Stegostoma tigrinum: one gene and its partners. The protein of the gene in region 3 purifies or fractionates together with the protein of the main gene of each other region. This does not show direct contact. Links are inferred from orthologs where the notes say so. Each region holds a gene or a part of one and is shown on either strand. Other genes may lie near its edges. The genes, in order: elongation factor 2, vars1, elongation factor 1-alpha 1 and eef1g.

Region 1 (7,367 bases), on a different chromosome or scaffold from region 3:
ACAATTCAGAGACAGCAGGACTGCAGACGCTGGAGAAACTGAGATAACAAGGTGCAGAGCTGAATGAACAGAGCTGGCCAAGCAGCAGGGGAGCAGGAAGGCTGATGTTTCGGGCCTAGACCCTTCTTCAGAAATGCTTCTTCCTTCTCCAGAATTTCTGAAGGAGGGCTTAGGCCCAAAATGTCAGCCTTCCTGCTGCTCTGATGCTGCACCTTAGTATAGTGCACAGCTCAGTTTCAAAACAGGAGTCAGAATGTCATATCACAAGTGTAGCCAAAAAAACCCACTTAACCTAAATCCTTGACCAAGTACAGCACATCATTCGGCCCATCAAGTTAACATCAAACCTCAAGTGCATCCCAGTCAGACCCACCTACCTACCTTATCTATGTAACCCTGCATTTCCCATGGCTAATTCTGTAGGGGCCTGTAGTCATGACTAAGTGGCTACGGCAGTGGGTTCAAAATCCATTGGGTCTCCCTGCACAGGTTCAAACCCTGCTGGCTACATTTAGAAGCAGCATGGTGGCTCAGTGGTTAACACCGCTGCCTCATGGCACCAGGAACCCAGGTTCAATGCCACACTCAGGTGACTTTGGACTGTGGGAGGAAACCCATACAAAGTGGATTGGCCATGCTAAATTGCCCACAGCATTCAGGGATGTGCAGATTAGGTGGGTTAGAGAGTTATGGGTCTCGGCAGGATGCTCGGAGGGCCATTGTGGACTTGTTTCCACACTGTCGGGATTTTATGAATAATCCACCTAGCCTGCACACGATCGACAATTTAGTTTGGCTACTCCACCTAACCTACACATCTTTGTACTGTGGGAGGAAACAGAAGCACCTGGAAAAAAATCCATGCAGACACGGTGAAAACGTCTGCATGGAGTTTGCACAGTCGCACAGAAGTAGAATCGAACCCAACTCCCTAGTGCTGCGAGACAGCTATGCTAACTACCATGCTGCTCAATATGCCTCAATAGTGTGACTTCATAGCCAAGCCATTCTGCAAAATGCTGGCCACTGGCATGATTATATCACTTACCAGAAACACAGTCTACCACAACTAGAGCACCATCAGTTACACGCAGAGCAGCTGTTACTTCTGAGGAAAAGTCAACATGCCCAGGTGAGTCAATCAGGTTGATGAGGAAGCCACTGCCATCCTTGCTCTGCTTGATGAAAGCTAAATCTTCTTCCTTGAGTTCGTAAAACAGGGAGATGGCACTGCACAAAGATACAAATTGCTAGTTATTCCTTGAAGCAAAAGGAGCCAGCACCAAGTTTTATAACGAGAGCAGCAGTTACATAACACTATGCGGGTTTATTAGAATTGGTATTCCAGTATAGCAAGATACACATGAAAGGAGATCATGATGAAGTTAACAGCTATGCTCAATTGCCAGACTTTGGCACATAGTTGTAGAATCTCCTTGCAGCATTACACCAAATTTTCCCCACTGACTTGGACACAAAGCCTACAAATGCAAAGTGCAGCTTGTTAACTAAAACTAAAAGTGTAGTCACTCACGTTGACTTAATGGTGATGCATCTTTCTTGTTCATCCTTGCGAGTGTCAGTGAACCTAGTTTCACCAGCACGGGAAGAGGCAATGATTCCAGCTTTTGACACCAGAGAGTCAGTAAGGGTGGATTTGCCATGGTCAACATGTGCAATCACAGACATGTTACGTATGTTGGACTTTTTGTCCATGATGGCACGGATCTGGTCTACTGTGAAGTTCACCTGGAAATTGATATTACAATACCATGACTACAAAGTAAACTGGGGATATCAGTAAAGCAGTGGTAGTAGTCAAATTTGGCTAAATCACTGCACCATACGTGAACCCAAGACAAGCCTCCCATCCCATGAAGGAAAGGAAACAGGACTGGCCCCATGTTATTCCCTTCACCACCAGAAAAATAGGCATCTAAGATCCATCAGAACGCACTAAACCATCTATAACGCGGCATCGATATCAAGTAATGCAAACCGACACCTCACGGCAAAAAAAACACGCAACATACAAAAAACCAACAGATTCAAGCTAAAACATACCATAATTGATCTTTTAAAAAAAAAAGAGGGATTGCGATCAATACCCTGCATTAAAGATCGACCCGAGACGTCACGTGTTAAAACACACAAAAGCCGTTTCTGGAAACCCGATCACGTTAATGCACCGTGTGCCGCAATCAATCCCATTTCTCCAACAGGGCGAGATGAGTCAGGCTGGAGCCGCTGCCAAACGACATGCACAGGAAGGAGCACAGCCAATGCCGGGGGGGGGGGGGGGGGGGGGGGAGAGAAGGAAGCCACGTCCCCGGTGACATTCACCCTGAAGCCGGGACAAGGGCCACCTTCGGTTCCACGTGGCGGTGGGGACTGGGACAGGGCTGAGGATTAAACAGTCGCCGGTTCTTACCGGCCGACCCACCCCTCTCCCCGACCCGCAGATAAACACCCGCCTCCTAGTGACGCACAACAACACCCGGGGGGGGGGGGGGGGCGCGCCGGAAACCCGGTGACAGCTCCGTCCCTGCCTTCTCCCCACCTTGGACCCTCACTGCCAAATAACAACCCGCTCCCCCACCAACACCTTGCCCCATGGCAGAGGCAGTAAAACCCCCACACCCCTCCCCTAATCCGTTCAACTTCAATCTGATTGCGCATCACGGCGGGCGGGCCGCACAAGAACCACCCCCCCCCCCAACTTTGTCGGGCCCACTAACGGGCCCCCTCTTCATCTACGAAAGAGACAATATCATCGTCGGGAGGAAGGCATCCAGTCTCAATACCGCACTGAAAATATCGATGGAAGCGCCCGACACCCATTCCCACTCGATGGAGACGTCGCCGATTTACCATTTTGCCGGATGGGGCTGGATTGCTTCGTTCTCAAGCTCCGGCTTCTGTCCGCCTCACCGAACGGGCGGATAAGAAAAGGACCGGTTCCAGCAACTTCCGGCCTTTTACCAGCCGCAGCTGCGTCACGTGGTCCCGCCGTAGGTACAGTCCTCCCAAACAGGCGCCCCCTTGCGGGTCTGTCTGAAAAGACAAATACAAAGGCGTGCACCCACAACTTTCTGATAGTAACGGACCGATTCTGTCTTCATGCCATGATGCTGGAATCTGAAATAAAATCAGAAAGTTCTGAAGAAACTCAGCAAATTTGGAGAGAGAAATAGAATTAATGTTTAGAATCTAACATGACCTCTTCAGAACTCACATTGGGGTTGAAGTAGGCCAAAGGAAAGTGAGCTTAAATTCATCAGAATTGGAAGCTATTTTAAGGTTTCATAGAATCAAAGTGTGGAAAGAGGCCATTTCATCCCATTGAGCCTGCATGGACTCTGAAGAGCATTGCACACAAACCCAGCCCTCACACCCATCCCAGGAAGCATGGCCCATCCACCTAGTTACCATAACGTTTGTATGTAGGCTTGCAGAAACACACTGCAATGAAGATATAGAAACATATCTGGAGTATGAGGTCCACGTCAGCAAGGTCCGTTGATTTGAGGATAACATCTACTCTGTGTCACTGGTTCTGATATGTGTCTTCACATGGCTGAATAGGTAATATCCCACTCCGCACATTATTTTCATGGGACAAGATGTGCCCAAGGCATTGGGAACTGGAGTGCAGAATTTGTTCTTTTTCCCCTTCTCTGCTGCTGCTCTGCCTCATCATTTAAGTGTGTGATAGAGAGCTGCTGCTTGATGGAGAAGTTGCTTTGCGTCTGGTACAAAGCTGGATGGTGACTTTGGAACCAAGAGACACTATCCCAAAGTAAGGGGCTAGCCATTTAAAGAGTTAGAAGAGGAGAAATTCAGAGGAATTAACCTTCAGAATTTTTTACTCGGAGTCTGTGGAGATTCAATCATTGAACATTTCAAAAGCTTTTGGGATTTTAATGACACAAGGTACAGGAGGAAGTGGGCAGGAAAATAGACTCCGACACAAGGTATAGGAGGAAGAGTGCAGGAAAATAGCATTGTGGTAGGTGATTATCCATGATGTAGTTGAATAACAGGCTAAATAGCTTCCCATTCCAATGTTCTGATGAGTTACAAGCTCCTCCCAGTCATTAATGTCAACATTACTGTACTTCAGGAAGAGCTGCACGGTATTTTAAGTTGTTTTAGAGATAGTAGGAACTGCAGATCCTGGAGAATCTGAGATAACAGCGTGTAGAGCTGGATGAACACAGCAGGCTAATCAGCATCAGAGGAGAGGGAAGGCTGAAATTTCAGGCCTAGACCCTTCTTCAGAAATCTGAAGAAGAGTCTAGGCCCAAAACGTCAGCCTTCTTGCTCCTCTGATGCTGGTTGGCCTGCAGTGTTCATCCAGCTCTACACCTTGTTATCCCAGTATTTGAAGTGTTTTCTTTGTCCTCCGTGTGTGAAAAAAGGATGACAAGGGAGACGCTTTTCAGTCATCGAAACATATGTCCAATCCATTGAAGGTGGTGTTTCAGAGTTCCTTTGCCTGAATACTAGGACAGCTGACTTCAGGATAGACAGATATAGTAAGAACTGTCGATGCTGGAGTCAGAGATAACAGTGTGGAGCTGGAGGAACACAGCAAGTCAGGCAGTATTAGAGGAGCAGGAAAGCTGATGTTTTGGGTTGGGACCCCTCTTCAGAAAATCAAGATGGAAAGTTGTGTTTGTTCAACAATCCTCCCATTGGATGTGGAGAAGGCATTGCTGAAAGAATTTATCTTCATCACAATCCTGCAATTGTTTCATATTGGCTAGAACTGCCTTGAAGACTTAAAAATCAGGAGCTTGATCAAGCAAGACCATGTGATATCTTCCTATAATGCTTACAATATACTCGATAATGGTTGTTCAAAGATCAAATGCCATTTGGTGTCAGGATAAAATGCCACCTGAATGAAAACCTCAGCTATCACTTCTGTGTCATATCTAAACTGACCAGCATGAATGACTGCAGTGTCATACCCCCACTGCACTGCACCGGATTGAAACTCAACTGGACCGCAGTAAATCATTTGTCATATTCTGAAACTTCAAATTTACACCTAAGAAACTTGACATGCATAAATGTCCAAAGAAAACGCATCAGCTCAATCAGCTAAATATTCCACATCCAATACATGTTGGAGGTGAACCTCTGGAATATTGTGAATGTATGGTATACACTGTCCAATTTGGTTTGTTTTCAAACATTTAGTACAATGTTCATTTCATTAAGTTATTTGTTGAAATCAGAGTCCAGGGCTCCAATGACAAAACCTCTGAAATCCTTACCAACTATTAATCACACTCTGATGTCTCCTAATATACTACACTTAATGCTGACCACTTCTAGCTGTGCAATAATTAATTTAGCATTTGCCACCTTTCCCACATAAACAGAACTTATGAATGATGTGCAACAGCAAGACAGATGATGTCACAGGTTGTATATAGAGAAACAAAAAAAAGGAAACTGCAAGGGCAAAGGATAACGTGCCATAGTGATACAGAATTTCTCTGAATGACTTCTTGAACTGTCTGAATAATTTTTATATTAGAACATACAAATATTTAAAATTTGCGAATGACACTATTGCATTCCAAGGAGAACCCGAAGGACAATGTGTTTAACACCAGCAGGAGCTTTATTAGTGAGGTGTTCATTTTAGAGGAAGTTAAGAGTGCTCTTTCCCCACCCAAAATGACAAATGAGATCACCATTATGCCTCATAATCAAATTCTTAAAGTGACAGGCAAGCATTTGTGCATCGATCTACATTCAACTGACGACAGGCTTGACTAAGGTTAATTTTATTGATGATGTGGCGACAATGGCCTTGTGGTATTAATACTAGACTGTTATTCAGTGACTCAGGTTTGAATCCTGCCACAGCAAATGGTGAAATTTGAACTCAATAAATATATAAAATTAAAGAGTCTAAGATGACCATGAATCCATTGTCAATTGTCAGAAAAACCCAACTGGTTGACCAATGCCCTTTAGGGAAGGAAAGTGCTGCCCTTAACTAGTCTGGCGTACATGTGACTCCAGATCCACAGCAATGTTGTTGACTCATAACTGACCCTGGGCAATAGCCAGCAACATCCTAATTCTATGAATGAATTAAGAATTAAAATCAAAAGCTGACTGCAGCTAGTCTAGCAAATAGGTCAACGATTAAAGGCAAAGTACATGTTCAGCATATATTACCTGATTAACAGTGACCTTAAACATCACCATAGATAGTTACTAGTATGATAGGCATAACCCAAACACTCACATTTATGGGTTCAAAGACTTCTGTCTTCATCAGCCTCTCTCATCTGCCTTGACCTTTGGTCTAATTGCATAAGGCACCGATTTAGACTTGGAACATTTTGCTTGACTCTCATCCTTAATTCTCAATTTGACAGATCTATTCCTTGCTTGCCACATCTCCACTGAAAACAATGGCTTATTTATTTAGAATTTGTGATTGATCAGTTTCAGAATATGACGAATGATTTCCTGCGGTCCAGTTGAGTTTCAACCACATTCTTCCCAAGAAAGCTGGAAAATCTCCTTGTGTAAAAGTGTAAGGATATATCTTCGGACTGACTATAACTCAATATTCACATTGACACACCTTAAAGGCACCACCTGAGGGTGTTCTTAATACAATTTTTGAGAGTTACAGTACCATGTGATCCAGCTACTTTGAATGCACACTTTCAGGTATCAATGAAACTGCCACTCCAATCTTAGATAACAAAGTGTGAAGCTGGATGTACACAGCAGGCCAAGCACCATCAGCGTTTCGGGCCTAGACCCTTCATCAGAGAGGGGGATGAGGAGTGGGTTCTGAAATAAATAGGGAGAGAGGGGGAGGCAGACCAAAAATGGAGAGAAAAGAAGATAGATAGAGAGGAGAGTACAGGTGGGGAGGTAGGGAGGGGATAGGTCAGTCCAGGGAGGACAGACAGGTCAAGGAGGCGGGATGAAGTTAGTAGGTAGGAAATGGAGCTACTAACCTCATCCTGCCTCCTTGACCTGTCCATCCTCCCTGGACTGACCTATCCCCTCCCTACCTCCCCACCACCTATCTTCTTTTCTCTCCATCTTTGGTCCTCCTCCCCCTCTCTCCCTATTTATTTCAGAACCCACTCCCCATCCCCCTCTCTGATGAAGAGTCTAGGTCCGAAACGTCAGCTTTTGTGCTCCTGAGATGCTGCTGGGCCTGCTGTGTTCATCCAGCCTCACATTTTATTATCTTGGAATTCTCCAGCATCTGCAGTTCCCATTATCTCTACCACTCCACTCTTACTCATTTATCATTCAGTAAGACAGCAACCCACTATCAGCTCCTCTGTGGACTGAGAGTTTGTGTTTTATCA
Region 2 (7,015 bases), on a different chromosome or scaffold from region 3:
GTTTGGTGGAGCTGGGGCGTGCACTAAGACTTGGGAGGAGCATATCACCAAATTGAAGCAGAAGCTGGGCAGGTGGACGCTCCGGTCCCCCTCCATCGCGCGTAAGAACCTGGTTGTCAGGTGCGAGGGGCTTTCGGTACTGTTGTATGTGGCGCAGGCCTGGCCTATTCCCTGGACCTGCGCCGCTGCGGTCACCCGGGCCATCTTCCACTTCATTTGGGGGTCGAGGATGGACCGGGTCCGCAGGGACACCATGTACAAAGACCTGGAAAATGGGGGAAAGGGCGTACCGAACGCCACCCTTGCCCTGACGGCTACCTTTGTGTGCGGCTGCATCAAGCTGTGCGTAGATCCTCAGTACGCAAACACCAAGTGTCACTACTTACTGAGGTTCCACCTGTCCCCGGTGTTGCGAAGGATGGGCCTGGCCTCGTTGCCGTGGAACGCTCCGAGTAGTTGGACCGTCCCGTACCACCTGTCCTTCGTGGAGAAATTTTTGAAAGGAAACACCTTTGACCACAAGGCCGTCAGGCAGTGGTCAGCACGTAGTATCCTTAGGGCCCTTCGGGAAAAGGAGAGGGTGGATCCCGTCGTGTGGTTCCCCATGCAGACTGCCAAAGTCGTTTGGCAGAATGCCTCATCGCCAGAACTTTCAAACAAGCACAAGGACATTGCTTGGCTGGCGGTGAGAGGGGCTCTGCCAGTGAGATCCTTTAGGCATGCCCGGAATCTCTGCGCCACCGCACGCTGCCCTCGAGGTGGCTGCGGAGGGGACGAGACTGTTGATCACCTCCTTCTGGAGTGTGCCTACGCGCAAGAGGTCTGGAGGGGGATGCAGTGGTATTTGTCGAGGTTCGTCCCGAGCAGCTCCGTGACCCGGGACTCCGTGCTCTACGGGCTGTTTCCGGGGACGCACACCGAGACCAATGTCAACTGCGCCTGGAGGACCATCAATGCGGTGAAAGACGCTCTTTGGTCTGCCCGCAACTTGCTGGTCTGCCAGCTGAAAGAACTGACCCCGACCGAGTGGTGCAGACTGGCGCACTCCAAGGTCCAGGGCTACGTGCTGAGGGACGCACTAAAGTTTGGGGCAGCCGCCGCCAGGGCGCGGTGGGGAAAGACCACCGTATGAGCCCCCTCATCCAGAAAAGGGAAAAGAACCCTATCTGGTAACTGGGCCCAGCTGGCGCCTTCCCCAACTGGTCAGAGGGCCAACGGGGACTGTGCGGGGTGACGACTGCCGCGGTATTTTCTTTGATTTGTTTTTTTTTTCTCTGTTTTGTTTTTGCCTTTAGTTGGTGTACGTACCCCCTGGGTAACCCGGAGTGCCTTGCATGACTGAGTAGGTGTATAAATGTTTTATTTTTTGTACATTCTATGAATAAAGTATATTTTTTCAAATTAAAAAAAAGTGACAAAATGTCTGAAAACTAACCTTCCAGCTCAGCGAGCAAACTCACATCCAGAGCAAGGAATGCAAAGTTAAGAAGGTGCACAAAGGGTGGAGTCAACATTAAATTTGCAATTTGAGGAGTTTGTTCAGACTGACAGTGGGGAAGAAGCTGCTCTTGAGCCTGGCAATGCATGTCTAAGTCAACATCCTTGAGCAGGTTCATTAGAAAATAAATACTGCTCCACCGCCAACAGCATTTCAAAATGGGATAACAGAGCGTGGAGCTGGAGGAACACACAGCAGGCCAGGCAGCATCAGATGAAGGGTGTAAACCTGAAACGTCAGCTTTCCTGCTCCTCTGATACTGCCCGGCCTGCTGTGTTTAATACGCATGTTTTGGGGCGGGTGGGGGGGAAGGAGGATAGAGAGAGAGAGAGAGAGATAGAGATGGTGGCTTGGTGGTAATTTCACTGGATTGAAAATCCAAATGCACTAGCGACTAGGGTTCAAATCCCTCCTTAATTTAAGTAAAATGATAGAAATATTTATAAAAGTACAAAGTGGGGATGATGGGGGTGGGGGACCTGTTGGCAGTTTGAGCCTAGAAAGTCTGGGGGTTCCAGGTTCCACCATCCATGCAGCTGTTTAAAGAGGAGCAAATGACTGCAGATGAGCATCTGTACTGCAAACAACAAAAACAGTATACAACATGGATGGTATTTAGGTGAGGAAATCTGTGACCAGCAAATGGGACTGACTCTCCCAACAAGGCATTCAGCCCGAGGGGCAATCAGGGGCTGGGAAGAAAATAAAGAAGGAGGGGGAGGGAGCGGGTGGTGTTCTGCAGACAGATGTGAAAGAAGCAGACCCACAGCTTGATAAAGTATTTTAGCATGTGCTGCAAAGTTACAGCCGGTTGCATCAGCTCTCAGGGCACAGACAGGCAGGGAATTAAGAGGTAGAGATACACTCACCTCCCAGGGCCAGCAAGGCGCAATAAGCAAAATCAAAGCAGCAAAAAAAAGGGTGCAATAAGGTAAATGAAAGCTAAAGCCCCAGCCAGCGGTGCTGGTACTGAGCGGGAGAGGGTCAGCTCAGAGCCCGGGACTGGGTGGTACAAGAGCGGCGGTGGATTAACCCGAGGCTCGGGGTGGGGGAGGCAGGCCCTCCCAGCACGGGAGCGCCTGGATCACTCTCTCCCCGACAACCCCCACCATCTCTCTCTCTTCCCTCTCCCCTGCCCATCCTCTCATTCCTCCCTTCCTCTGTCCCTGCCACCCCCTACTCCCCTCCCTCTGTCCCTGCCATCCCCTACTCCCCTCCCTCTGTCCCTGCCCCACTCTGAGACTCCCCCCAATCCCTCACCAGTATCACTTTTATAAAATGACACATGGCTCTTTCTTGCTCCCTCTGCTGCCGCTAAATGCAGCTCTGGCTCTGTCTCTGTCTCTGTCCCCAGCCCCCAGCCCCCAGCCCCCAGCCAGGGCGAGGTTACGAACCTTCTTGTCCTGGCCGCAGCTCCCCGGGTAGAATAGACTCCCTCGGCCCAGGCCGGCGTGAGGACAGAGAGAGAGAGACAGGGGGTGGTGGGAGGGAGCTTCCTGCTCTGTAATATCCGCATTGAGGAGTCCCTCTGCTGGTAACTGCGGAACAATCCAATACAAACTGCACAAGGAGCAGCTCACTGACACACCGCAACCCCCTTTCCCGACTCCCAACTCTCCCTCTCTCCCCCTCCTCTCTGTCCCCCCTCCCATCCTCCCTCCCGCTTCTCGGAGGTGGGGGTGGTAGGAGTGCGGTGAAAACAGACATGTAATGATATTACTGGCACCCCTACATATTCATAATATCTACACACTATTTCCCACCCCCTTCTCTGTAGTCCACTGAACATGGGGAGGGGAACAAAAGACTCCAAAAGTGCATAAAACTGTCATTTTAACACCTTTTCTGACACACATTCAACAGGCTGCCTGTAGAACACCGCACACACTTAATGTCCCTTACCGAAATCGACCACAAGCTATGCATTATCATCGTCTATTCCCCCCGGTGTAACATGTCCCATCTGACAGAGCAAATAAAGCCCATAGTCCTTAAAGTCTCCCTTCGATCCATCGGTTGTACTTCCTCATTTGCTCTTTCCAATATTGGTCCCATGCTTCCGGATATTAATGCAAGACTCCACAGTCCCGGCAGATTCTTCATCCTCAAATCTTCTCCTGTTGCGGTACCTGTAATTCAGGCAGGGAGGAGACCTGGAGGTCATCTAACATTAGTTTATGGTGGCAGCTGTTTATTCCCTCTTTTATTGGAAAGTCATTTCCTGTATGCACCAAATAATTCCCAGACAACCCAGGAGTGATACGTCGATATTCTTAACATTTGGATTCATAGAATCCCTGCAGTGTGGAAGCAGGTCATTCAGCCCAGAGTACAAACCCGTCTTCCGAAGAACATCCCACCCAGATGTAAACACCCTGCCCTATCCGTGTGACCCTCTATTTCACACAGCTAATCCAAATGGTATGCACATCCTGGACATCACGGGGCATTTAGTTTGCCAATCCACCCTAACCTGCACATCCCTGGGCACTATGGGACAATTTAGCACGGCCAATCCACCCTAACCCGCACATCCCTGGGCACTATGGGACAATTTAGCACGGCCAACCCACCCTAACCCGCACATCCCTGGGCACTATGGGACAATTTAGCACGGCCAGTCCACCTTAGCCTGCACATCCCTGGGCACTATGGGACAATTTAGCACGGCCAACCCACCCTAACCTGCACATCCCTGGGCACTATGGGACAATTTAGCACGGCCAATCCACCCTAACCTGCACATCCCTGGGCACTATGGGACAATTTAGCACGGCCAATCCACCCTAACCTGCACATCCCTGGGCACTATGGGACAATTTAGCACAGCCAATCCCACCCTAACCTGCACATCCCTGGGCACTATGGGGCAATTTAGCACGGCCAATCCACCCTAACCTGCACATCCCTGGGCACTACGGGACAATTTAGCACGGCCAATCCCACCCTAACCTGCACATCCCTGGGCACCATGGGACAATTTAGCACGGCCAATCCCACCCTAACCCGCACATCCCTGGGCACTATGGGACAATTTAGCATGGCCAATCCCACCCTCACCTGCACACCTTTGCAGTGTGAGAGGAAACCCATGCAGACATGGGGAGTACGTACAAACTTTGCACAGACAGTTGTCCGAGGGTGGGATCAAATTTAAGTCCCCGATGCTGTGAGGCAGCAGTGCTAACCACAAATTCTATCATCTCTACATTATTCACATTTCCCCTCATATCCAGCCATCATTCCCGATAGTAAAGTGTGAAGCTGGATGAACACAGCAGGCCCAGCAGCATCTCAAGCACAAAAGCTGACGTTTCGGGCCTAGACCCTTCATCAGAGAGGGGGATGGGGAGAGGGTTCTGGAATAAATAGGGAGAGAGGGGGAGGTGGACCGAAGATGGAGAGAAAAGAAGATAGGTGGAGGGGAGAGTATAGGTGGGGAGGTAGGGAGGGGATAGGGCAGTCCAGGGAGGACGGACATGTCAAGGAGGTGGAATGAGGTTAGTAGGTAGGAAATGAAGGTGCGGCTTGGGTTGGGAGGAAGGGATGGGTGAGAGGAAGAACAGGTTAGGGAGGCAGAGACAGGCTGGGCTGGTTTTGGGATGCACTGGGTCGAGGGGAAGAGCTGGGCTGGTTGTGTGGTGCAGTGTCGGGGGGAACGAACTGGGCTGGTTTTGGGATGCGGTGGGGGAAGGGGAGATTTTGAAGCTTGTGAAGTCCACATTGATACCATTGGGCTGCAGGGTTCCCAAGCGGAATATGAGTTGCTGTTCCTGCAACCTTCGGGTGGCATCATTGTGGCACTGCAGGAGGCCCATGATGGACGTGTCATCTAAAGAATGGGAAGGGGAGTTGAAATGGTTTAGGACTGTGAGGTGCAGTTGTTTGTTGCGAACCGAGCGGAGGTGTTCTGCAAAGCGGTCCCCAAGCCTCCGCTTGGTTTCCCCAATGTAGAGGAAGCCACACTGGGTGCAATGGATACAGTATACCACATTGGTAGATGTGCAGATGAACCTCTGCTTAATATGGAAAGTCATCTTGGGGCCTGGGATAAGTGGAGGCTTGGGGACCGCTTTGCAGAACACCTCCGCATTGTGCCCTTCCTTCCTACCCTGGGCTGAATCCCAGACTTTGAACAAACGTAGTATAGGATTTTCAATCAGCATCCTCAAAGACGTTCCTTATCCATCTATTTCTGTACAAACAGAGGCAGCAGCTACTCAACACCACCCTTTCTGTTTTGAGTGCACGGCCCTGTTGTGGACTGCATTAATCTTGTACCTTGGATGTATTCCAGCGCCAGACACTGCGATTACCACAGCTCATAGTTGAAGTTTAAATGTCAAACTAAACAAACTACTGCTTCAGCTAAAAATCTTCCCAGCCGTTTTACGCTGCTTTCAGGCCTGGCCAGCCCCAATACTATCAATGCTTCCATATTACAAATTAACATATTAAATAAATGCACCTTCATGACTGTAGCCTCACACTTATATATAGTCACACAGCACGGAAACAGACCCTTCGGTCCAACCAGCCCATGCCAATCATAATCCCAAACTAAACTAGCCCCACCTGCCTGCTCCTGGCCCATATCCCTCCAAACCTTTCCTATTCATGTACTTATCCAAATGTCTCTTAAATGTTGCAACTATACACACATCCACTATTTCCCCTGGAAAATTATTCCACACACGAAGCACTCGCTGGGCAAAAAAAAAGTCCCCTCGTGTCTTTTTAAAATTTTTCTCCTCTCACCTTAAAATTATACCCACTATAGAATCCATTACTGTGTGGAAGCAGGCCATTCAGCTCATGGAGTCCACACAAATGAAAAGCATCCTGCCCAGACCCACGCCCCATCCCATCTCTGTAGCCCTGCATTGCCCATGGCTAGTCCACCTAACCTACAGATGTGTGGGCAATTCAGTATGGCCAAACCATCTAACCTGCACATCTTTGGGCTGTGGGAGGAAACCGGAACACTTGAAGGAAACCCACGCAAACACGGAGAAAACGTGCAAACTCTGCACAGTCACCCGAGGGTGGGATCAAACCTGGGTCCCTGGTGCTGTGAGGCTGCAGTGCTAACCACTGAGCTACTGTACCCCCTAGTCTGGAAATCCCCCCTCCCTAGGGAAAAGACACTCACCATTCTGATTTATCTACACTACTTATTATTTTAAAAACTTCCTTAAGGTCACCCATCAATCGCCTTCGCCCCAGTGAGAAAAGTCCCAGATTATCCAGCCTCTACTTATAATTCAAACGCTTCATTCCCAGCAACTTCCTGGTAAATCTCTTCTGAGCCCTCCCCAGCTTAATAACATCCTTCCCATAACAGAAAGATCAGAAGTTGACACCGTACTCCAGAAGAGGCCTCACCAACATCCAGGACAATCTTAACATGACACCCCAATTGTAATCTCAAAGCTCTGAGCAATGAAGGTAAGTGTGCTAAACCTCTTCTTAGACGCTCTGTCTGCGTGTGATGCAAACTTCAAAGACTTATGCACC
Region 3 (7,546 bases):
GATGGAGAGAAAAGAAGATAGTAGGGAGGGGATAGGTCAGTCCAGGGAAGACGGACAGGTCAAGGAGGTGGGATGAGGTTGGTAGGTAGGAGATGGAGGTGCGGCTTGGGGTGGGAGGAAGAGATGGGTGAGAGGAAGAACAGGTTAGGGAGGCAAAGACAGGTTGGACTGGTTTTGGGATGCAGTGGGTGGAGGGGAAGAGCTGGGCTGGTTGTGTGGTGCAGTGGGGGGAAGGGACGAACTGGGCTGGTTTTGGGATGCGGTGAGGGAAGGGGAGATTTTGAAGCTGATGAAGTCCACATTGATACCATTGGGCTGCAGGGTTCCCAAGAGGAATATGATTCAGGTGTTCAGCAAAGTGGTCCCCAAACCTCCACTTGGTTTCCCCAATGTAGAGGATGCCACACCGGGTACAGTGGATGCAGTATACCACATTGGCAGATGTGCAGGTGAACCTCTGCTTAATGTGGAAAGTCATCTTGGGGCCTGGGATAGGGGTGAGAGAGGTGGTGTGGGGGCAAGTGTTGCATTTCCTGCGGTTGCAGGGGAAGGTGCCGCGTGTGGTGGGGTTGGAGGGCAGCGTGGAGCGAACAAGGGAGTCACGGAGAGAGTGGTCTCTCCGGAAAGCAGACAGGGGTGGGGATGGAAAAATGTCTTGGGTGGTGGGGTCGGATTGTAGATGGCGGAAGTGTCGGAGGATGATGCATTGTATCCGGAGGTTGGTGGGGTGGTGTGTGAGAACGAGGGAGATCCTCTTTGGGCGGTTGTGGCGGGGGCGGGGTGTGAGGCATGTGTTGCAGGAAATGCGGTCAAGGGCGTTCTCGACCACTGTGGGGGGGAAGTTGCAGTCCTTGAAGAACTTGGACATCTGGGATGTGCGGGAGTGGAATGCCTCATCGTGGGAGCAGATGCGGCGGAGGAATTGGGAATAGGGGATGGAATTTTTGCAGGAGGGTGGGTGGGAGGAGGTGTATTCTAGGCAGAGGTTCACCTGCACATCTGCCAATGTGGTATACTGCATCCACTGTACCCGGTGTGGCTTCCTCTACATTGGGGAAACCAAGCGGAGGCTTGGGGACCACTTTGCAGAACACCTCTGCTCGGTTTGCAATAAACAACTGCACCTCCCAGTCGCAAACCATTTCCACTCCCCCTCCCATTCTTTAGATGACATGTCCATCACGGGCCTCCTGCAGTGCCACAATGATGCCACCCAAAGGTTGCAGGAACAGCAAATCATATTCCTCTTGGGAACCCTGCAGCCCAATGGTATCAATGTGGACTTCATCAGCTTCAAAATCTCCCCTTCCCCCACCGCATCCCAAAACCAGCCGTTCGTCCCCTCCCCCCACTGCACTACACAACCAGCCCAGCTCTTCCCCTCCACCCATTGCATCCCAAAACCAGTCCAACCTGTATCTGCCTCCCTAACCTGTTCTTCCTCTCACCCATCACTTCCTCCCACCCCAAGCCGCACCTCCATCTCCTACCTACCAACCTCATCCCACCTCCTTGACCTGTCCGTCTTCCCTGGACTGACCTATCCCCTCCCTACCTATCTTATTTTCTCTCCATCTTCAGTCCACCTCCCCCTCTCTCCCTATTTATTCCAGAACCCTCACCCCATCCCCCTCTCTGAAGAAGGGTCTAGGCCCGAAACGTCAGCTTTTGTGCTCCTGAGATGCTGCTGGGCCTGCTGTGTTCATCCAGCCTCTCATTTCATTATAAAGTTGACCCTCTTGCTTTCTCACCTCAGCAGCTTCCTTCTCAAACTTCTCAATGGTTCTCTTGTCAATGCCACCACATTTGTAGATCAAATGGCCAGTGGTGGTGGACTTGCCAGAATCCACATGGCCAATGACAACAATGTTGATGTGGATCTTTTCCTTACCCATTGCTTTTGCCAGTGGGTTGTTGCCTCAGCCTTAAGGAACTAGGGATGGGAGTTAAATTGGGAGAAAAAAGTTAGGAAGCCAAAAAAAAAACGCAATACTGACGCCTTCTCCCCATACCAAATCTCCAAATTACAGGAGTCGGTGGATTTACTCTAAAGACAGTGGCCATCTCCTCCTGTAAGGGGGGGGAGGGGGAGAAAGAGCGCCTCTCTCGATCTTCAGCCGCTTTCCCTCCTTTTTTTTAAGCGCATCTCCGTCATTTCTCCGAATTGTTACAGTGATAAAGATACCTGCTGCCTTTCCCTCTCCAACGCCCCCATTCCAGTTGATGTTGCTCTCCTCCATTTTGACTGACAATAACCGCACGGACACACCGGCCATTTTCTCACCAACGGGCACCGAACCGCCCCCACCCCCAACACACGGTTCCTCCGGACAGGGTCAGGGACAAGCTCCACCCGTAACCTTCGCCGAACGATCACCAACGTTTGCGGTAAAACGGTATAAGAAAAAAAACCTTCAAAAAAAATAAAAAGCCCCGCCGCCGCCCACTTGTCGGCTGCACCCCCCCCCCCTCCAATTTTATACTAACGATGCCACAGAAAAGCGAACGCCAGGTGGGGGGGGGGGATGAGAAAAGACTGCTCCGGTAATAGAAGATTAGAATATTTGGGGTCGTTAGGGGTCCCCCCCTCTCCCTCCCTCTCTCTCTCTGTCTCTCGATTCACCCCGAAATTAGCCAATTCGAACCGAAACCCGTTTAGTAGCCGCCGCCGCCTTCTAAAGGGGACGCGGCTAACGAAGCTGGCCCACAGCTTCGAATCCCTCCAACCCGGTCACACCATCTCCTCCAACAGCAGCACTCCCACCCACCACCCATCCCGTTTCTTTCACCGCTTCACCTTCTCGATGGAGGAGTGGAGGTGGTTACCGCCCGCCCGCAATAGGTCAATGCGTCGAGCCAAAAGGCCACCCTACACCCTACCGGCTCCACACACGCTCGGCAAACAGGCGGAAAGCGGCTGCGTCACGGCTATTAATAGGCGCCAGCGGGTGGGCGTTGGGAAGAAGGGGGTCCGCCGATTGACTTCAATTGCGACCCCCCGCGGTCAACACACACAATCCGTGCCCATCCCTCGTGCGCCGACTCCGCCCCCTCGTGACTGGAGCTCGAGCTCGCCCGCTGCCTGAACGATTCGACGGCGGGGTTTGGGTCAGACCGAGAGAACATCATCGCCCCCACACAGCGCAGGAGGCCATTCAGCCCGATGTGTCTGTGCTGCCTCAACGGGGAGCCACCCTCCCTGTCCCACCCAATGACCCGACGCCCCCCGCTAACCTTCCAGCGGCTCTGAAAACTTTTCCCTCAGGTAATCCTCCACCGCAGCCCCAAAGAAAAACTCACCTTTTGCCAATCGCTTAAAAGGGTTGTTTCCCCCAGTCTGCTGGCATCTTATGTTATCTCACGTAAAACATAACCTGTTCTGTTTGATGAGATGTGAGAGTTTGTCGCCATTGGCCTCTCACTGTGAGCTTTGCCACACTAACAAATGTACCAAATTTGCATCAACTGAGAGCAGTGTGGCAGGTTGAGGTGGGGGGTAAAGGGGTGAAGTGCCATGTGTATTAGTGCATATGTACACCCCCCCGCTCCAAATTTTGAAGGGATATTTCAAGAGTTAACTTATACACCAAGTTTAAAAGTGAACCACACGTGTTTGTGGGTGACAGTAACCGTTTTGAAACACCAGCAACCAAACACCAACTGTGCTACTCCCCCACATCTTCACCAAATAGCCCATAGTGCCAGCTCAATCCCTTTCATCTGTTCAGGAGATATTGGTGAGAGAAGATCTTAGATTGGAAGATCAATATCTAGAATCCGTTCAGATGGAGCTAAGAAACAGGGACGGGCAGCGAAACCTGGTGCAAGTTGTTTAGAGGCCACCAAACAGTAGTGCTAATAAAACTGGAGATGCATGTAACAATGATAGCGTAATCACAGAGAACTTCAGTCTACATATAGACTTGAGAAAACTGATTGGCACCATTGCTATGAGAAGGAATTCCTGAAAATAGTCTTCTCAAGGAACCAAGTAAAGATTAGATTACTTTAGATCCATTTTTGTGCAATGAGAAAAGACTGATTAATAATCTTGTAAAGGAGCATTCAGGGATGAATTACCAGAACTTTTGGCAAGTTTGAGGTTCAACCATAAGAACAGACTGGTTATGATAGAACTATATAGGTCATTGTACTCTACTGGTGACCGAATCAACGTGCATTTCTGAATGAGGGACAAGTTAGCTATGGTAAACTGAGAAAGTACATTACATAAGAACTAGGAGCAGGACTATGCCATCTGGTCCCTTGAGCCTGCCCCGCCATTCAATAAGATCATGGCTGATCTTTTCAAAACTCAGCTCCAATTACCCGCCCGCTTACCATAACCCTCAATTCCTTTACTGTTCAAAAATTTATTTAGCCTTGCCTTAAAAACATTCAGTGAGGTAGCTTGAACCACTTCACTGGGCAGGGGATTCCACAAATCCACAAGCCTTTGGGTGAAGAAGTGCCTCCTAACCTCAGTCATACGTCTGCTTCCCTTCATTTTGAGGCAATGATCCTTAGTCCTAGTTTTACCTGCTAGTGGAAACAATCTCCCTGCCTCTACTTATCTATTCCCTTCACAGTCTTGTATGTTTCTATAAGATCTCCCCTCGTTCTTCTGAAGTCCAATGCATATATTCCCAGCCTACTCAGTCTCTCCTCATAATCCAACCCTCTCAACTCTGGAATCAACCAAGTGAATCTCCTCTGCACCCCCTCCAGTGCTAGTATATCTCTTCTCAAGTAAGGAGACCAAAACTGCACAGTACTCCAGGTGTGGCCTCACCAGGACCCTATACAGCTGCAGCATAGCCTCCCTGTTTTTAAACTCCATCCCTCTAGCAATGACAGACAAATTAAAGACAGACAGTCAAGGTTATAACCAAAGACAAGGACTGGCTAGCCTTTAAAGAATTAATAAATTATTTACAGCAAATATACGTTCCTTTGAGGCATAAAAACCTAACCACAAAAATGATTCAACCATGGCTAACGCGAAAAAGTTCTAGGAGATCTCAAAGAGAGACTTATAAAGTTGCCAAAAAAATAGAAAGCGTAAGGATTGGGAATATCTTAGAACTCAGCAAAGCAAGGCCAAGAAACTGATGAAGGGAAAATACAATACAAAGGTAAAAGAGCAAAAAAAAAAATCATAAAACCTTCTGTACATGTATCCAAAGAGGAAAAGACTAATAAAGACAAATGTGGGCCCATTACAGGGCAGAGTCAGTACAGTTTATAATAAAGAATAAGGAAATGACAGAAAATTTACAAATAGTTTGTATCTTGTATTCACGGAGGAAAATATAAACAGTCACCTGGAAATGACAGAACCTGAATTAGTGAAAATGGGAAACCAAAATAAATTAGCATTACTAAAAATGTAGCATCTGAACCTGATGATCTACATCTCAATGTTGAAAAGAGTGTTATAAAAGTAATGACCCTTAAATGACCGTATCTCAAGTTTTTTAAGACTGTGAAACAATCTGTACAGATTAGAAAGTAGGAAATATACCTCCACTATTTAAGAACGAAGATAACAGGGAACTGTAGCTTTGTTATTCTGATATCTGTCATCAGGAAATACAATCATGAATTATAAAGGATGTGCTAACTGCATATTTGAAAATAATGGTAAGTTTAGGCAATGGCAAAAGGGATTTATATAAGGAAAGTTATGTTTGTCAATGTGAATGGAACTAGCAGAATAGACAAAGGGGAACTAGTAGATGTGGTGTATTTGGATTTTCATAAAGCATTCAACAAGGTCCAGTTCTGTGTTAAGCCAAATAACCAGGAACAGGGTTTTAAATTAAATGATGAGGACAAAGGATCAAATTTGATTTACTGCATCTTCCCAAAAAGCATGGGAAGGAAGACACAATGGTGTTAATATGGAAAATGATAAACAGACCATGATGGAAAGGAACAGAGAATACTAATCCATGAGTAAATCCACTGTTTGTTCGAAAGATTAGAAAAATAATAACTAAAGGCTCAGTATCTGAATGCACATAGCAAAAGAAAACCGAGCACAAGTATAATTAAGTAAGTGAAATACAATAGCCATTACAGAGAGAGATGACTGTGGACTGAGGTAGGTTAGGACCTGAATATTGAAGATCACAAGACATTTAAGGATAGAAAGCAAGGAAAAGGGGGAGGTGTAGCTGTGTTAATTGATGATGGTATTAGCACAACAAAGAGGCATGTCCTGAGTTTTTAGAATAGCACATGGAGAAGTAATTGTAGAAGTAGGAAATGTTAAATGATGAAGTCAAGTCATCGAGAACATACAACATGGAAACAGACCCTTCTGACTGTGAGGGAGTTCAAAACTAGTGGGCATATTTTTAAGGTGAGAGGACAAAGACTTAAAAGGGACCAGAGGGGCAACTTTTTCACAGAGGATGGTTTTTATGTGGAACAAATTACCAGAGGAAGTGGTGAATGCAGGTACAGTTACAATATTTAAGAAGTAGTTGGACAGGCACGTGAATAGGAAAGGTTTAGAGGGATATGGACCGAATGCAGGCAAGTGGGACTAGTTTAGTTTGGGAAACTTGATCGGCATGGATAAGATGATGGGAATGACGTACAGGTCCCCTAATAGTAACCACAAAACAGGATGAAGTATGTACAGGAGAAATAATGAGAATGTAAAAGTACAGCAATAATGTCAGGTATTTTAATCTGCAAATGGACTGGAAATATTGGATAGGCAAAAGCAATTTAGATGAGAAGTTTATGGACTTTTTCTCAGCTAATTTCTGAAGATAGTACACTGAGGAGCCAACCAGATGTCAGGCTATTCTAGATCTGGTATTGTACAATGAGATAGGATAAATGAATGACCTATTAATGATGGCATCCTTAGTGAGCAACAACCATTGTACGATTGAATTTTGCTTTCAGCTTGAGAAGATAAAGTATAACTTCAAGTCCGGTATTTTAAACTGAAATAAAGGCAATCATGATGGCATGAAAACAGAACTTTGGTAAAGAATTCCAGAGAATCACAAGCTGAGAAAAGAACTTCCTCTTCATCCTCGGTCGTAAATTGATAACCCTTTATTCCAAGACTATGCCCTTTGGTCCTAAACCCTCCCATGAAGGGAAACATCCTCTCAATTCTTACCCAGTTAAACCTTTACGGAATCCTTCATGTTTCAATGAGACAATCCCTCATTCTTCTAAAATTCAGTGAATAGAGTCCCCACCTGTTTAGCCTTTGCTCAGAAGACAATCCCTCCATATTGGAGCTAATCCAAGTGAACCTTCTCTGAAATGCCTCCAATGAAATGATGTCTTTGCTTAAAAAAGGAAACAAGACCTGTTCACAACACTCCAGATGTGGTATCATCAGCATCTTGTACTGTTGCAGCAAGACTTATGTGACTCTATAACTCTACTCTTCTACTGCAATCCCTTGAAATAAAAAGACAACATTCCATGAGCCTTCCCGATTATCTATCTGCTAGCTTTCTGTGTCACATGCACAAGTAATTACCCCACATCCTTCGGTGTTTCAGCTTTC
Region 4 (7,558 bases), on a different chromosome or scaffold from region 3:
GTTACAGAAGGAGCTACACATCTGAAAATCTTCCAAGTGGCGTCAACGACCCTCCTAGAACCATTTGTACACTCTGTCCCAAACTTTATAGTTATACTACTGGGCAAGGGCTCACGTTATCTAGCAAAGTCCAGGTTAATATTTAAGTCAGAAAAACAATTTTTGAGGGCTCGTGTCACTGTGTAGTTCTGTACGTACGTACGTACGTACGCACGCACCCACCCTCCCCTCCCCCCTCCCCTCCCCTCCCCTCCCCTCTCCTCTCTTCTCTCTCTCTCTCTCTCTCCCCCCTCCCAGCTGAGTCCCTACCTGGGTAACTGTGACTAGAGCAGCGCTGACAATACCACAAATAAACGCCGCTGCGTAAACCGAGAACTCCAGGCACAGAAGGAGAGAAAACGCCATGTTCCTAACACAGATCACAGAAACACGGAACTGCAAGAAGTTTTAGTTTTCAGAGGGGAGGGGATCTGTGTTCGTGGTACAGCCCCTTCCCTCACCTGACATTCATTTGCTGAATGACACAGCCAGTCCAACCCCCAGACTCTCCAATTTGCCAATTGCAAAGCTCACTTTGCATTTTGCATTCCCAGGGGTTCACGCACGAAATGGCACAAAAGTTGTTGATTTTATTTCCTGCACAGTGTCACCGCTGGGTAGGGTACTTGCGTGCCCGGGGAGTGGGGCTCACCTCTCTGTGTTGGGGGGTCTGGGAACCACAGGCTAGCCTTAAGGCTGAAACGCACTGCCAGTGCTGAGGGAATGGGCACTGTCAGAGGGCCAGTGCCGAGGGAGCGGGCGCTGGCGGAGGGTCAGTGCCGAGGGAGCGGGCACTGTCGGAGGGTCAGTGCTGAGGCAGTGCTGCACTGTCGGAGGGTCAGTGCCGAGGGAGTGGGCACTGTCGGAGGGTCAGTGCTGAGGAAGCGGACACTGTTGGAGCGTCAGTGCTGAGGGAGCGGGCACTGTCAGAGGGTCAGTGCTGAGGGAGTGGGCACTGTCAGAGGGTCAGTGCTGAGGGAGCGGTCACTGTCAGTGGGTCAGTGCTGAGGGAGCGGGCACTGTCGGAGGGTCAGTGCTGAGGCAGTGCCGCACTGTCGGAGGGTCATTGCTGAGGGAGTGGGCACTGTTAGAGGGTCAGTGCTGAGGGAGCGGGCACTGTCGGAGGGTCAGTGCTGAGGAAGCGGACACTGTTGGAGCGTCAGTGCTGAGGGAGCGGGCACTGTCAGAGGGTCAGTGCTGAGGGAGCGGTCACTGTCAGTGGGTCAGTGCTGAGGTAGCGGGCACTGTCAGTGGGTCAGTGCTGAGGGAGCGGGCACTGTCGGAGGGTCAGTGCTGAGGCAGTGCCGCACTGTCGGAGGGTCATTGCTGAGGGAGTGGGCACTGTTAGAGGGTCAGTGCTGAGGGAGCGGGCACTGTCGGAGGGTCAGTGCTGAGGGAGCGGACACTTTCGGAGCGTCAGTGCTGAGGGAGCGGGCACTGTCGGAGGGTCAGTGCTGAGAGGGTGCCGCACTGTCAGAGGGTAAGTGCTGAGGGAGCGGGCACTGTCGGAGCGTCAGTGCTGAGGGAGCGGGCACTGTCGGAGCGTCAGTGCTGAGGGAGCGGGCACTGTCGGAGGGTCAGTGCTGAGGGAGCGGGCACTGTCGGAGGGTCAGTGCTGAGGCAGTGCTGCACTGTCGGAGGGTCATTGCTGAGGGAGTGGGCACTGTCGGAGGGTCAGCGCTGAGGGAGCGGACACTGTTGGAGCGTCAGTGCTGAGGGAGCGGGCACTGTCGGAGGGTCAGTGCTGAGAGGGTGCCGCACTGTCAGAGGGTCAGTGCTGAGGGAGCGGTCATTGTCAGAGGGTCAGTGCTGAGGGAGCGGTCACTGTCAGTGGGTCAGTGCTGAGGTAGCGGGCACTGTCAGTGGGTCAGTGCTGAGGGAGCGGGCACTGTCTGTGGGTCAGTGCTGAGGGAGTGGGCACTTCGGTGGGTCAGTGCTGAGGTAGCGGGCACTGTCAGAGGGTCAGTGCTGAGGGAATGGGCACTGTCCATGGGTCAGTGCTGAGGGAGCGGGCACTGTCGGACGGTCAGTGCTGAGGGAGCGGTCACTGTCAGTGGGTCAGTGCTGAGGGACTGGGCTCTGTCAGTGGGTCCGTGCTGAGGGAGCTCTTTACTGTCAGAAATACAGTCTTTCGATTGTCACCATCAGCTCAGGACTATCCTTGCAGACAGCAGTAAAATGATTCAGTCTCCAACAATGTGCCTCTCCGTCAGCATGAACAGATTCAGCAGGAGAGGGCTTTGCCACAGGACAGGACATGTGAACAGGTACAAATGGAAGGTGTTGGAACATGGAAATTCTGGACAATTCAGCTCTCTGATTCCTGAACAGTCAATCAGCAAAGCTGCAACCAGGCGCACAGTTCTAATAAACCCTAAAACGGAGCAGAGATAAGGTCTTCAGTCCCACAAGCCTGTTCCACCATTCCACGAGATCATGGCCAATCTACGTCTGGACCATTTTCCTCATGCTCCCCATATTCCTTGATGTCTTTTACAGCTAGAAACCATGAACACACACAGTGATTGGGCATCCACATTCTTCTCGCTTGGAGGATCGCAAAGAGTGAGCTGTCTTCTGAATCTGGAAGAGGAACTTTCCACTTGAAGAGAACCATCTCCTAGAATCATTGATTCATGGAGTTTTCATGGGTTAGAAAGTGGCCCTTCGACCCGCTGTATCCGTGCTGGCCATCGAACAGCCACCCATTTAATCCCATTTTTTAGCATACAAATAAAACTTCCCGCGGATCCTCACCCTGGCGACTCTTCAGAACATTGCGGTCAGAAGTTCTGAAGAAGGGTCACTAGACCAGATCATTAATGCAGCCTCTCTCTGCACAGATGCTGCCAGACCGGCTCTGTTTCGCCAGCAACTTCTCTTTTTGTTCCAGCATTTGCTCCATAGCCTCATATACCGTGGTATCCTCTACATTGTGGGTGTGTGGGTTCTGGGGTGGCAAGGGGTGGGGTGGGGGACGGTTGTGGGAATGTAGGGCTGGAGGGCTCGTGCTGGGCACAGCTTTTAAAGGGGAGTATTTGGGGGTGGGAGAGGAATGAATGGGCCGAATGGATTGCTTCCTGTTCCAAATGGAATTATGTTGATACCACCTGCCTGGCGTAACCTAACAGCAAAACAACAAAACAGCAGAAGAAAGGAGTGGGGTAGGCCATTCAGCCCTTCAAGCTTGTTCTGCCATTCAATGATATTAGGGCTGATAGGGTCAGAAAGATATACAGCTTAGAATCAGGCCTTTTGGTCCAACATATCAATGCCGACCAGATATCCTAAGTTAATTTAGTCCTATTTACCAGCATTTGGCCCGTATCCCCTACAAACCCTTCCTATTCATGTGCCTATTCCTATTTGTGAAAAAGTTGCCTCTTAGGTCTCTTTTAAATCTTTCCCCTCTCACCTTTAATCTATGTCCTCTAGTTTTGAACTCCCCCACCCTGGCTCTTCACCCTATCCATGCCCCTCATGATTTTATAAACCTCAGCCTCTGATGCTCCAGGGAAAATAGCCCCAGCCTATTGAACCTCTTACTTGTTCGCACAGAGGGTGGTGCATGTATGGAATGAGCTGCCAGAGGAAGTGGTGGAGGCTGGTACAGTTACAACATTTAAAAGGCATCTGGATGGGTATCTAAGTAGGAAGGGTTTAGAGGGATATGGGCCAAATGCTGGCAAACGGGAACTATCTTAATTTAGGATATTTGGTCAACATGGGTGAGTTGTACTGCAGGGTCTGTTTACTATAGGTGTGAGCCGGAAAAGCGCAGCTGGTCAGACAGCATCGGTGGGGCACATAGGTGAACATTTTGGGCCAAAAACCCTTTGCCAGGTTGCTTTTCCAGCCTCACACCTGTAGACTCTGGCTTCCAGCATCTGTGGTCCTTATTGTCCCTGGCTCTGTTTCAGTGTTGTGCCTCTCTGTGACTCTCCCTGCAGCTGAAACCCTCCAGTCCTGTGGCACATGGCCTATTTCCCAAATGCCTGCCTTTTGACCCATTGCCCAGAGGAAGGAGACGCACAGCTGGAAGCAGGCAGAGGTAGTCAGGGAGAAGGTTTTGAAATAGCGGGAACTGCAGATGCTGGGGAATCTGAGATGACAAGGCGTAGAGCTGGACGAGCACTGCAGGCCAAGCAGCATCACAGGAGCAGGAAGGCTGGCGTTTCGGACTTGGACCCTTTCTGAAGAGGGTCTAGGCCCAAGACATCAGCTTTCCTGCTCCTCTGATGCTGCTTGGCCTGCTGTGTTCGTCCAGCTCTACACCTTGTTGTCTAGGGAGAAGTTTTTGGAGCTTTTGACATGGTCCTGATGATCCTGTCTCTCCAGCTCTGATGAAGGGTCTAGGCCCGAAACATCAGCTTTTGTGCTCCTGAGATGCTGCTGGGCCTGCTGTGTTCATCCAGCCTCACATTTTATTATCTTGGATTCTCCAGCATCTGCAGTTCCCATTATCTCTCCAGCTTTTAGCTCTGGTTCAGTCTAGGGGTGGTGGTCGGCTACTGTCAATCATCACAAAGGCCACGCCCCCTGGGTTTACGACAGTGCCGTCAGTCAGGCGGCTCTCTCTCTCTTCGGCGCCCCGGCGACATGGCGGACGGGGTAAGTGCTGGCTCCCGGTTACAATCCGCGGTGTATCGGCGCCATCCCGGCTCCGCGAACCCGGCTGGCGGTCCCGAAAGCTCGGCGGGCCTTTCTCACTGAGCCGTGTGCCTTCATTTCCCGCAGATCCTGTACTCGTACCCGGAGAACTGGCGGGCCTACAAGGCGCTGATCGCCGCCCAGTACAGCGGCTCCAAGCTGCGGCTGCAGAGCGGGCCGCCGCATTTCACCTTCGGACAGACCAACAGGAGCGCCGCCTTCCTGCACAAGTTCCCCCTCGGCAAGGTCAGTCTGTCGGGGCGGGACAGGGGATCCGGAGCAAGCCCCGGGCTGAGGGGAGATCGCAACCCACCCCCCACCCCCTCCATCCCCGTAACACCTCGCCTCCCCACCTCCAAATCACCCCCTGCCTCCCCACCCCGATACCCCTCTCCACACACCCCCCCTCACTGCCCCCCTCGTCCCTGTCCCCCCCCCCATTCGTCCCTGTCCCCCCCCCATTCGTCCCTGTCCCCCCCCCCATTCGTCCCTGTCCCCCCCCCATTCGTCCCTGTCCCCCCCCCCATTCGTCCCTGTCCCCCCCCCCAATCTCGTCCCTGTCCCCCCCCCCAATTCGTCCTGTCCCCCCCCCAATTCGTCCCTGTCCCCCCCCCCCATTCGTCCCTGTCCCCCCCCCCCATTCGTCCCTGTCTCCCCCCCCCCATTCGTCCCTGTCCCCCCCCCCCATTCGTCCCTGTCCCCCCCATTCGTCCCTGTCCCCCCCCATTCGTCCCTGTCCCCCCCCATTCGTCCCTGCCCCCCCCCCCATTCGTCCCTGCCCCCCCCCATTCGTCCCTGCCCCCCCCCATTCGTCCCTGCCCCCCCCCATTCGTCCCTGCCCCCCCCCCATTCGTCCCTGCCCCCCCCATTCGTCCCTGCCCCCCCATTCCGTCCCTGCCACTCGCCCCTATGTCTCCATCCTCACCCGCCCCCAACTCCCCCCTTGTCCCCAGCACCGATACCCTCCTATCGCCCACATCCTCACACTTAATCCCCCCCCCATCAGCCCACCCTTAATTTGCTCCCCCATCCTGCTGCGCTCCCCCCCCACCTGCCATCACGCCAATAGTAAATCACTTTTCATTCACTTACAAAACAATACCGTCACTGTAGAGTCATGGAGGTTTTCAGCATGGAAACAGGCCCTTTGGTCCTCCTTCACCATTCCACCCAGTTTTTGCAATTAATCTAGTTAAGTTGCCTGCATTTGGTCCATATCCCTCCCCATACATTTCTTCGATGTCAAAATTGTACTCACGTCCACTCCTACCTCTGGCAGCCCATTCTAGACACTGACCACTGTGTTGAAAAAATTGCCTCTCTGGACCCTTTTGTGTATCTTTCCTCTCACCTTAAACCTGTGCCCTGTAGTTTTAGACTCCCCATGGGGAGAAGCTGTTGGCTACCTTCTGTATCAATGCCTCAAGGATTTTATAGACCTCCATAAAGTCATCCCTCAGTCTCCTACCCCAGGGAAAACAGCCCCAGCTTGTCCAGCCTCTCCTTATAACTCAAACCTTCAGCCTAGGCAGCATCCTAGTAAATATTTCCTGCTCTCTTTCTGGTTTAATAATATCCTTTCTATAGTAGGGCAGCTAGAACTGCACATGGTACTCCAAGTGTGTCCCTACTAAAGTTTTGTACAGATCCAACAAGATTGTCTTGAATATTCAGCCCTGCTGTGAAGGGATTATTGGGGGAAGGGGGACTGTCCACTTCTCTGTTGTATGGTATTATATTCCATCACCATGTCTTTTTTTTGGCCTAAATGCCTTTTGGAGGAGGCGATGGCAAGCTCTCATGACCCTCTGCTGTCTGTGGAGTGTAGGGACATACGCGGTTTTGTTAGGAAAAGAGTTCTAGGATTTTGATCCAGCAACAATGTAGGATCAACGGATATATTTCTGAATTATTGTGATGTGTCTTGGAGGGTACTCCCATTTATCTGCTCCCCTTGCCCTTCTCAGTGGTGGGGGGCCGTGTCACAGATTTTAAATATGTGTGGAGTTTGCTACTGTTCACTCCTTGCCCCCATTTTTCAGTGATTTTTAATGTATATCCCTGCCAGCACACCAATCCCGAATTATTGGAGTCTCACATTTTGGCTGTTTGGATGTGGAGCAGGATTGTCTGACGTCGAGTGGACCTGCCTGTCTCAAATCCTGGCAGGCTCAGGAGCAGGGATAGTGCTTGATGCTGCCATGACCTCACTGGATCAGGGCAATCTGTTGGTGTCAGCAACATGTCAGCGAGAGTGTGAATTGAACCTAGTTGTTAGTGACGGATGAATGACTGTGCTATGTGCAGCCTGCTGTCGGCGTGGCTCAAGTAACAACACTCTCTCCCTGCAGTCAGAACCGTCTCAGTTGTAGACTGGGGGCCATTTGGTGCTTTGAGTCTATTCCATTGTTATTCAGTGGGTGATTTGCACTTCATCCCCCAATAATGGGCACCTGGGGGTTAGAGGCATGGGTGGAATATAAGTGCGGAAGTGTCACCACACCTGTACGAGGTAATGGTGAGCTTGAACCTGGAGTCTCGTGTACAGTTTTGGTCTCCTTACTTAAAGAGGAATGTAATTGCATTGGATGCAGTTCAAAGAAGGTTCACTTGGCTCATTCCTGAGATGAAGGAAAGGTTCAGTAGGTTGGCCCTTTACTCAAGAGTTTGAAAGAATGAGAGGTGATCTTGTTGGAACACTCAAGATTGTGAGAGGGGTTTGATGGGGCGGATTCTGAGAAAATTCTGGGAAGGGGAATGAAGAAGGCGCAGCTCCACAATATGGGGGTCTTCTGTTTACGATGGAGTTGAGGGCATTTCCTCCAAGGGTTGGGGTCTGGCTCTGGCTGCTAATCTCAGCCTTGAATAT

What was found.
Region 1: the proteins of elongation factor 1-alpha 1 (region 3) and elongation factor 2 fractionate together in Homo sapiens (co-fractionation; 3 studies listed by BioGRID). This does not show direct contact. The link is inferred for Stegostoma tigrinum from reciprocal best matches to the Homo sapiens genes EEF1A1 and EEF2.
Region 2: the proteins of elongation factor 1-alpha 1 (region 3) and vars1 purify together in Homo sapiens (affinity purification with mass spectrometry; 3 studies listed by BioGRID and IntAct, counting the BioPlex papers as one, with this or other methods). This does not show direct contact. The link is inferred for Stegostoma tigrinum from reciprocal best matches to the Homo sapiens genes EEF1A1 and VARS1.
Region 4: the proteins of elongation factor 1-alpha 1 (region 3) and eef1g purify together in Homo sapiens (affinity purification with mass spectrometry; 5 studies listed by BioGRID and IntAct, counting the BioPlex papers as one, with this or other methods). This does not show direct contact. The link is inferred for Stegostoma tigrinum from reciprocal best matches to the Homo sapiens genes EEF1A1 and EEF1G.

Annotation. Positions count from the first base shown.
Region 1 is NC_081383.1:37,094,827-37,102,193, forward strand, and holds the start of elongation factor 2, read right to left. Parts: upstream 3,006-7,367; 5' UTR 2,875-3,005; coding exon 2,872-2,874; intron 1,750-2,871; coding exon 1,535-1,749; intron 1,231-1,534; coding exon 1,049-1,230; intron 1-1,048. UniProt on the Homo sapiens protein: Catalyzes the GTP-dependent ribosomal translocation step during translation elongation.
Region 2 is NC_081387.1:26,737,972-26,744,986, reverse strand, and holds the start of vars1 (valine--tRNA ligase), read right to left. Parts: upstream 3,003-7,015; 5' UTR 2,893-3,002; intron 1-2,892. UniProt on the Homo sapiens protein: Catalyzes the attachment of valine to tRNA(Val).
Region 3 is NC_081357.1:98,948,847-98,956,392, reverse strand, and holds the start of elongation factor 1-alpha 1, read right to left. Parts: upstream 3,003-7,546; 5' UTR 2,798-3,002; intron 1,934-2,797; 5' UTR 1,896-1,933; coding exon 1,752-1,895; intron 1-1,751. UniProt on the Homo sapiens protein: Translation elongation factor that catalyzes the GTP-dependent binding of aminoacyl-tRNA (aa-tRNA) to the A-site of ribosomes during the elongation phase of protein synthesis.
Region 4 is NC_081395.1:5,754,908-5,762,465, forward strand, and holds the start of eef1g (elongation factor 1-gamma), read left to right. Parts: upstream 1-4,549; 5' UTR 4,550-4,638; coding exon 4,639-4,650; intron 4,651-4,776; coding exon 4,777-4,935; intron 4,936-7,558. Other genes in the region: transmembrane protein 179B-like, read right to left, coding at 310-405. UniProt on the Homo sapiens protein: Probably plays a role in anchoring the complex to other cellular components.